2 linked regions of the Xenopus tropicalis genome follow. The protein of the gene in region 2 interacts with the protein of the main gene of each other region in a pairwise test. Links are inferred from orthologs where the notes say so. Each region holds a gene or a part of one and is shown on either strand. Other genes may lie near its edges. The genes, in order: cyth3 and cnksr1.

What was found.
Region 1: the proteins of cnksr1 (region 2) and cyth3 interact in binary tests that used the Homo sapiens proteins (3 or more experiments, as listed by UniProt). The two-hybrid records come from large-scale screens. The link is inferred for Xenopus tropicalis from reciprocal best matches to the Homo sapiens genes CNKSR1 and CYTH3.

The regions. Positions count from the first base shown.
Region 1 is NC_030685.2:25,420,508-25,424,336, reverse strand, and holds part of cyth3 (cytohesin-3), read right to left. Parts: intron 3,351-3,829; coding exon 3,274-3,350; intron 51-3,273; coding exon 1-50. UniProt on the Homo sapiens protein: Promotes guanine-nucleotide exchange on ARF1 and ARF6. Promotes the activation of ARF factors through replacement of GDP with GTP. Plays a role in the epithelial polarization.
Region 2 is NC_030678.2:76,996,651-77,000,479, forward strand, and holds part of cnksr1 (connector enhancer of kinase suppressor of ras 1), read left to right. Parts: intron 1-605; coding exon 606-679; intron 680-3,263; coding exon 3,264-3,325; intron 3,326-3,428; coding exon 3,429-3,549; intron 3,550-3,829. UniProt on the Homo sapiens protein: May function as an adapter protein or regulator of Ras signaling pathways.

The sequences.
Region 1 (3,829 bases), on a different chromosome or scaffold from region 2:
TCTCTAATACTAAGGTTTTCCAAAGGAATTATACCTCTTGGTTCTTTATCCTGTTGATCAAAAGATAAAATCTTAATGAGGAGAAACAGAAGGAACGTAGTGCAACTACTTTACTAACCACTAGGGGTAGACAGAGATACAGCAGATGAGATTGTCAAAGGAAAAATCTTCTGAAAAGGAAAAGTGTACAAAAGGAGAAAGTCTCACCGAACCCCCAAAATTATACAGATTAAAAAGCAACATTTTTATTTTATACACATTGTGCAGAGTTAGTGGAACATTTTGAAAGCATATATACCAAAGTAAAAGTCAGATATTTAGGTAGCCCATGGCTGCGGAATGAACCAATACACACAGACAAATCTCTTGTTTAGCAGGCACACAAATGTACCAGATTTAAAGCACAGACAGCTTAGGAACCAGCCAAAAGTGCTTAAAAGATTAACACTTTAACACAAGTATACACCACCTATACATATTAGTAATTCAAGTCTTAAGGTGGCCAGATCCATTCATTTGGTGAGGCTGCCAAACAAGCAGATCTGGGACCAATTTGTTCATCCACATGCTGAGTGGATCATCCATTGGGGTCTGTGTATATATACAAATAACTCAAAAACATTACAAATTTGTAATTAATGTATATTGCAAAGTTACTAAGAATTTGGTTTTCTTTTATTAGGCAAAACATTATATTCTGGGTTGACTTGTCCTTTAAAGGAAAAATAATCCCCCTAGGGCTGGCATTCCAACACTGGACTTGTTGTAAAAGGGATTATGGTAATAATCTCCCACCAGATGCTCATATATAAGAGAAAAAGCCAGGATAAAGATTCCTATACATCATTTAAATATTTGTTATTTATTTATATATGGGGAAATCTGGATATCATTGGCCATATTTCAAAACTGCCTGGTGAGTCTATCCCAGAAAAGATTTGTATCTGTGCAGTATCTGATTCTGTCAGGTCACCACCGAAGGAATGCCTTCTTTTGTGCCATTCCCACCTTTTTTCTTGATTTCTACGTTGCCTTACCCCCCTGAGTTATAATGGAGAGGCATCCATGCCATATGAATCATGGCGTGTCTGTGCTCCAGCTAAAATTAAGGATGGGGGGTGTAGTAGGAAAGGTGGCAAAGAAAAATACAGAGAAAGCAGTCAAGGCATTACCTATATGTGGTGTTACCCTGGGTGTGTCAGCCAAGCCAATATATTACAAAACTGATGAAGCCAATGCCATTATTAAATCACAGGCATCCAGTTGTAAGGAGCCTGATTGGAATGCAGACATGATTGAGTGCATATACACTGGAGGCATCTGTTGCTGTAGCAGGAATCAATAACACCCCCATCAGGCCGGACACAATGACGTTTGTTATAAGACACTAATGAGAATCTTCCATCTATATTCACCCACTGAATATAGATGGGAGATTCTGGGGAAATGTAAAGAGCTCTCTGCAAACAGGCTACTCTTGTGGAATAAAATTAACCACTTTTAATAACCAACAAAGTAAGAACAAAACATGTGAATTACAATTGTATCCTCACCCATTAGATCACTTAATTAAGTCTGAGATTTGGTTTTGTGACCCAGTATAAAATTAACAACAATGGGGACCATTTTTTTGGGTACCACTGAATTACACAGAACAAAGAGAACAATTTTTTTTCTTCCTGGAAGGCTAGGGGTTCTCATTTGTGTAAGCATTAAAGCCAATTCAAAGGCATAATGTCCCCAAAATGAGGCAGAGGTGTTGTAGGTAAACGAAAAAGACAAAGTGCAAAGAGTAAGCCCAAATTTCCATGCAAAATTGCATGTAGTGTAGAACTGTCCAATGTTCCCATCTCTGGTTTTATAACAGAGTTTCCTTGCGAAACTTTTAGCCCTGTTTGATGGCTTCATTACATGAACACACTGCAGAGTATTGGGCAGGTGCTCTGTGTGGCCTTCAGATCTGGGCAGTAAAGGGAGGGGGCTACCAACTGGGCCCATAAATGTTATTACTGACCTTAAAGTTATGATATACACAGAGAGCAATTAATGGCAGTCTATGACATGCAATTTGTCACACAGTTTAAAAGAACAGAGGGTCGGCTTTTGTAAGTTAGGATAGAATTTCAGCACCTGCTTGCTCTGTTGTGAAGAAAGGGGGCTGTGTGTGTGTGGGGGGGGGGGGGGGGGGGGGGGGGGGGCGCTTGCAATATCAATGCTGTATTTTGCCTGTTTTCAAACAAAACCCAAGAATATAATTTCCATGAGTGACCACAATCTGGCTACTGTCCCACAACCCACTAGCAACACTATGCTGCTTCTTTAGATGTCAGATCAAAGTTATATTCCTCCATTTTAGGTGAACAGAACCACATAAGCTTTTATGTTTTTATACTTTTCATGGGGTTTATTTATTTAAGGCTGATCTGGGGAACCCAGAAGCATTATTTTAATTCCAATTGATCAAAACCTTAATGACTGGCAGGAAGAAAAAAAAGATGCATTTATCAATGCTGATGACACGTCAATTAGTCTGCATGCTATGAGAAGCCAATCACATTAGTGTTCCAGGGCCCACCAGTGGTTTACTAGCCGAGGCTGCCCCCACCCCCACCAGACTTGTGCTGCCCTTTATCATACCACTAAGGTGGTACAGACCATCAGTCCTTTTATCTGCTTTAACTTTTGCATGAAGCAAACCCCAGAAAAGGAAGACCCTGTTATTTTAATTTAGCTCTACAACAATCATTTCTGTGTTTTCTGAGGGTAGTACAATCTAAGAGGAGATCTTGCCCTGGCCCTGAGTTCAGCAGCAGCACTGAGACCTAATGCCCAAAGCCCTGGTTAATCCCAATGAAAAATGCATACAGGGATTAATAATCCAGAAAACTATTTTGGGAGCTGGACAAATCATTTCAGCATGGAAAACAGGTACCGCTTCAGTGAAAAGAATATGACCAATGGTTAGTCCCTTAGTCTGTAAAGAAATGGCTGATGAGCCATTTTCTAGCCCCAGAATATAAAATCCATGGTGCTGTCTATCAAGGACCAAACTTCAGTGCTTCAGTTTCTAGGTTCCAATGTACCCTAAGGGAAACTGGGAAGTCTTGCAAGGCATGATGGTGGCTGTCGTAGTGGGCATTAAAATGGTTCAAGGTGTTAAGTAACCTCTGTGAAGTGTACTCCCCCATAGCCAAACTCAAATAATTCTACCCATGTGGCCCTTCGTGCCATTTATTACATGTCTGCTTCACAGGGTTTAACCTTCATACTTACTGTTGTGTATTCAAAATAATAGAGACAGTTATCAGTCAGGATAAACCACCTGCGCTTCCAAGTTTTAACTCTTCCACCTAAAAAACAAAGAGCCATCTCATTAGAACACCTTCAATAATGCAGGCTGGCCATGTACATACACCACTATTTGCACACTATGTACTACAAGGGGGGCCTGAGTTTCTCACAAACAGGCACCTTTCCTTTAATAGTCCTTGTGTGGCTTCTTCTGAACTTTAATTTGGATTTGTTTGTAGTAGCCTGTGTGTCATTTTTTTTGCCAAATATTTGCTTTCCAGCAATCATTAAGCCAGCATATCAAAGGAGAGCCTTTCAGCTACAGAAGTGCAACGCCCGGCATCCTCACTCAGCTGGGTGGGGTTGCACTTTACTGCACTTTTATGGCTATGCCTATCATATGCCAGGGCTCAACCATTCAAGTGTGTTTCATTTTCTAACACTGCAGACTGAATTTTAAAAGATTGCCAAGAAAACGGCAATTGTGAGAATTTTGTCCCCTAACCATGGTGCAGCAAAGTGCAACAATAGCCCCGTG
Region 2 (3,829 bases):
GTAATTATATGCTGGTGGTTGCTGTGCTATCCACAGAAGAGGAGGAGGCATATGGATTTAAGTGTATGTCTTAATATGACATAATATAATTCTTTCACATATGAATGAAGGGTAATATCCCTTCAGTGAGCACCAACCATTGGGTTTTTGCTGTGTTGCCACCATTAATGTGGGGATGGTCTTAAAAGCTCTTGTGATAACATGGGTGCGGTTTAAAAAAGGGGAGTGGTCAAAACTGGCTTCCATTATCGGCCCTCCACCATGTAGGCCAGAAAAATTCCGGCCCTCGGTACCACAGAAGTTGGACAGCACTGCTCTAGAGGAATATGAGGTGGTGGGTCGTGATAGAGGAACCCAAAAGGTTTGGGTTGCATGGGTATCTGTAATTTAAGTGGCTTATGATTACTGCCTTTGGGAAGCAGTTAAACAACTTTGTAATGGCCAGCCACCCTTTACATTAATACTGGGCTATATTGTATGCAATAATGTAATAACATAGTTGTAGCACAACATTTTTTGTTAAGCACATCAAAGGTGCCCTAGGCTTGGAGATTTCTTGGAGATGCCTTATGGGTTTTGCAGAGTTTCTTCATTTTTCATTACAGGTGGGTGACCAGTCTTCTAGCTGCACTAAACATACATAAAACAGCATCTTCTGCTACTCAAGCACACGAAGAAGGTATTTGTGTCCTGATATTGTAAAGACATCTGTATATATGGCTATGGTTTTATATTTCTTGTTAGAGAAACATAATTGCTGTTCTTAGTAAAGGCTAGTTTGTGCAGCCTCATGCTGCTGTTGTTAGATATACAGTGGTGTGAAAAACTATTTCTGATTTCTAATCCTGATTTCTTATTCTTTTGCATGTTTGTCACACTTAAATGTTTCTGCTCATCAAAAACCGTTAACTATTAGTCAAAGATAACATAATTGAACACAAAATGCAGTTTTTAAATGAAGGTTTACGTTATTAAGGGAGAAAAAAACTCCAAATCTACATGGCACCTGTTTCAATCAAGAAATCACTTAAATAGGAGCTACCTGACACAGAGAAGTAGACCAAAAGCACCTCAAAAGCTAGACATCATGCCAAGATCCAAAGAAATTGAGGAACAAATGAGAACAAAAGTAATTGAGATCTATCAGTCTGGTAAAGGTTATAAAGCCATTTCTAAAGCTTTGGGACTCCAGCGAACCACAGTGAGAGCCATTATCCACAAATGGCAAAAACATGGAACAGTGGTGAACCTTCCCAGGATTGGCCGGCCGACCAAAATTACCCCAAGGGCGCAGAGACAACTCATCCGAGAGGCCACAAAAGACCCCAGGACAACATCTAAAGAACTGCAGGCCTCACTTGCCTTAATTAAGGTCAGTGTTCACGACTCCACAAGAAAGAGACTGGTCATAAACGGCCTGCATGGCAGATTTCCAAGGCGCAAACCACTTTTAAGCAAAAAGAACATTATGGCTTGTCTCAATTTTGCTAAAAAACATCTCAATGATTGCCAAGACTTTTGGGAAAATACCTTGTGGACCGACGAGACAAAAGTTGAACTTTTTGGAAGGTGCGTGTCCCGTTACATCTGGCGTAAAAGTAACACAGCATTTCAGAAAAAGAACATCATACCAACAGTAAAATATGGTGGTGGTAGTGTGATGGTCTGGGGTTGTTTTGCTGCTTCAGGACTTGTAAGGCTTGCTGTGATAGATGGAACCATGAATTCTACTGTCTACCAAAAAATCCTGAAGGAGAATGTCTGGCCATCTGGCCAACTCAAGCTGAAGCGATCTTGGGTGCTGCAGCAGGACAATGACCCAAAACACACCAGCAAATCCACCTCTGAATGGCTGAAGAAAAACAAAATGAAGACTTTGGAGTGGCCTAGTCAAAGTCCTGACCTGAATCCTATTGAGATGTTGTGGCATGACCTTAAAAAGGCGGTTCATGCTAGAAAACCCTCAAATTAAGCTGAATTACAACAATTCTGCAAAGATGAGTGGGCCAAAATTCTTCCAGAGCGCTGTAAAAGACTCGTTGCAAGTTATCGCAAACGCTTGATTGCAGTTATTGCTGCTAAGGGTGGCCCAACCAGTTATTAGGTTCAATTACTTTTTCACACAGGGTTTGGATTTTTTTTCTCCCTAAATAATAAAAACCCTCATTTAAAAACTGCATTTTGTGTTTACTTGTGTTATCTTTGACTAATAGTTAAATGTGTTTGATGATCAGAAACATTTTATGTGACAAACATGCAAAAGAATAAGAAATCAGGAAAGGGGCAAATAGTTTTTCACACCACTATATACCGTATTTTTCGGACCATAAGACGCACCGGACCATAAGACGCACCAGTTTTTAGAGAAGGGAAATGAAGAAAAAAAGATTCTGAAACAAATACTGTCCTAAAATATTTTATGTGCATTAAAAGCGAACCTGTACCAGCAGCACCCAACATATTGCCCCCCACCTGTACCAGCAGCACCCAACATATTGCCCCCATCTGTACCAGCATATAGCCTACAGATATACTTTAAAAAAATGTTTTTACTTGCCCGTGTGGTCTCCGTGCAGGGCCCTCCTCTATTCACCGGCGCTTAGCTGTGGCGCTGTGCGCATGCACAATGACGCACATGCGTTGTGCATGCGCACAGAGCCACAGCTAAGCGCCGGTGAATAGAGGAGGGCCCTGCACGGAGACCACACGGGCAAGTAAAAACATTTTTTTAAAGTATATTCGGACCATAAGACGCAGGGACTTTTCCCCCCCACTTCTGGGGGAAAAAAAGTGCGTCTTATGGTCCGAAAAATACGGTATATATATATACATAAAGAAAAATGTCGGCACTCACAGGGTTTCCATATAAAGGCAAAAAATAAACAGCTTTTAAATACAAACGGTGATGTTTATTCTTTCCAACGTTTCATACACGGACTTTCGTCAGGGAAACCCTGTGAGTGCCGACATTTTTCTTTATGTATCTAAAACCTCTAGCTCGAGCACCCAGGTATTGGAATTTTGAAGGTGTGCTCCCCAATCCTACACTTATATATATATATATACATCTAAGAAGCTGGCACTCACGTTTAAGTCCAAAAAATCATGCCTGGGTGCAGTACCGGAATATGGAATATACAAAATAATGCTGGAAGGAACCGCTCTCACAGGTCTTAGTCATCCATAAAGAACTTTATTGAGATAGGCACGACAACTATATCTATCTATCTATATCTATAAAAATATATATATTTTTTTTTTAGACTGTTACAGTGAAACTGAGGCTGAAGATCTGGATGAAGATCACTCAAAAACACAGGAGGTGGTAAGAGAACAGTACAATTGCTCATTTTATCTTCAACCCATGCTACTAATTGTCCCAGCTCTACTTTTATACCACCCTTCCAATTTCAAACTTTGTATGTCAGGTAAAGACTCCACTGACACATGTACAGAGCCAGAATATCTCAAGTTCACCAACAACCAGTGAAGAAAGCAACACTTCTGAAAGTGGGCAAATTCTGAAAGAAAGTGATGTTCAACCTGCAAGTAAGCAACTTTGTTTTTTTTTTTTTTTTTAGCACTGTGGGAGATTGAAATTTATCAGCACATACAAATCCCTTCAAATGGACTACTTATCACAAAGGTGGGGAAGGAGAGATTGTTTAAACAAAACTCATTAGCTCTATTTAAAGGACAATGAAAGGTTAATATAAATTAAAAGTAAAGGTGGCCATACACGGACCGATTTTTTACTTACAAACGACCGATTCCCGAACGATCCGATGCTATCATTAAGTTATCGTATAGTTGGTGGTGTACGAACGAT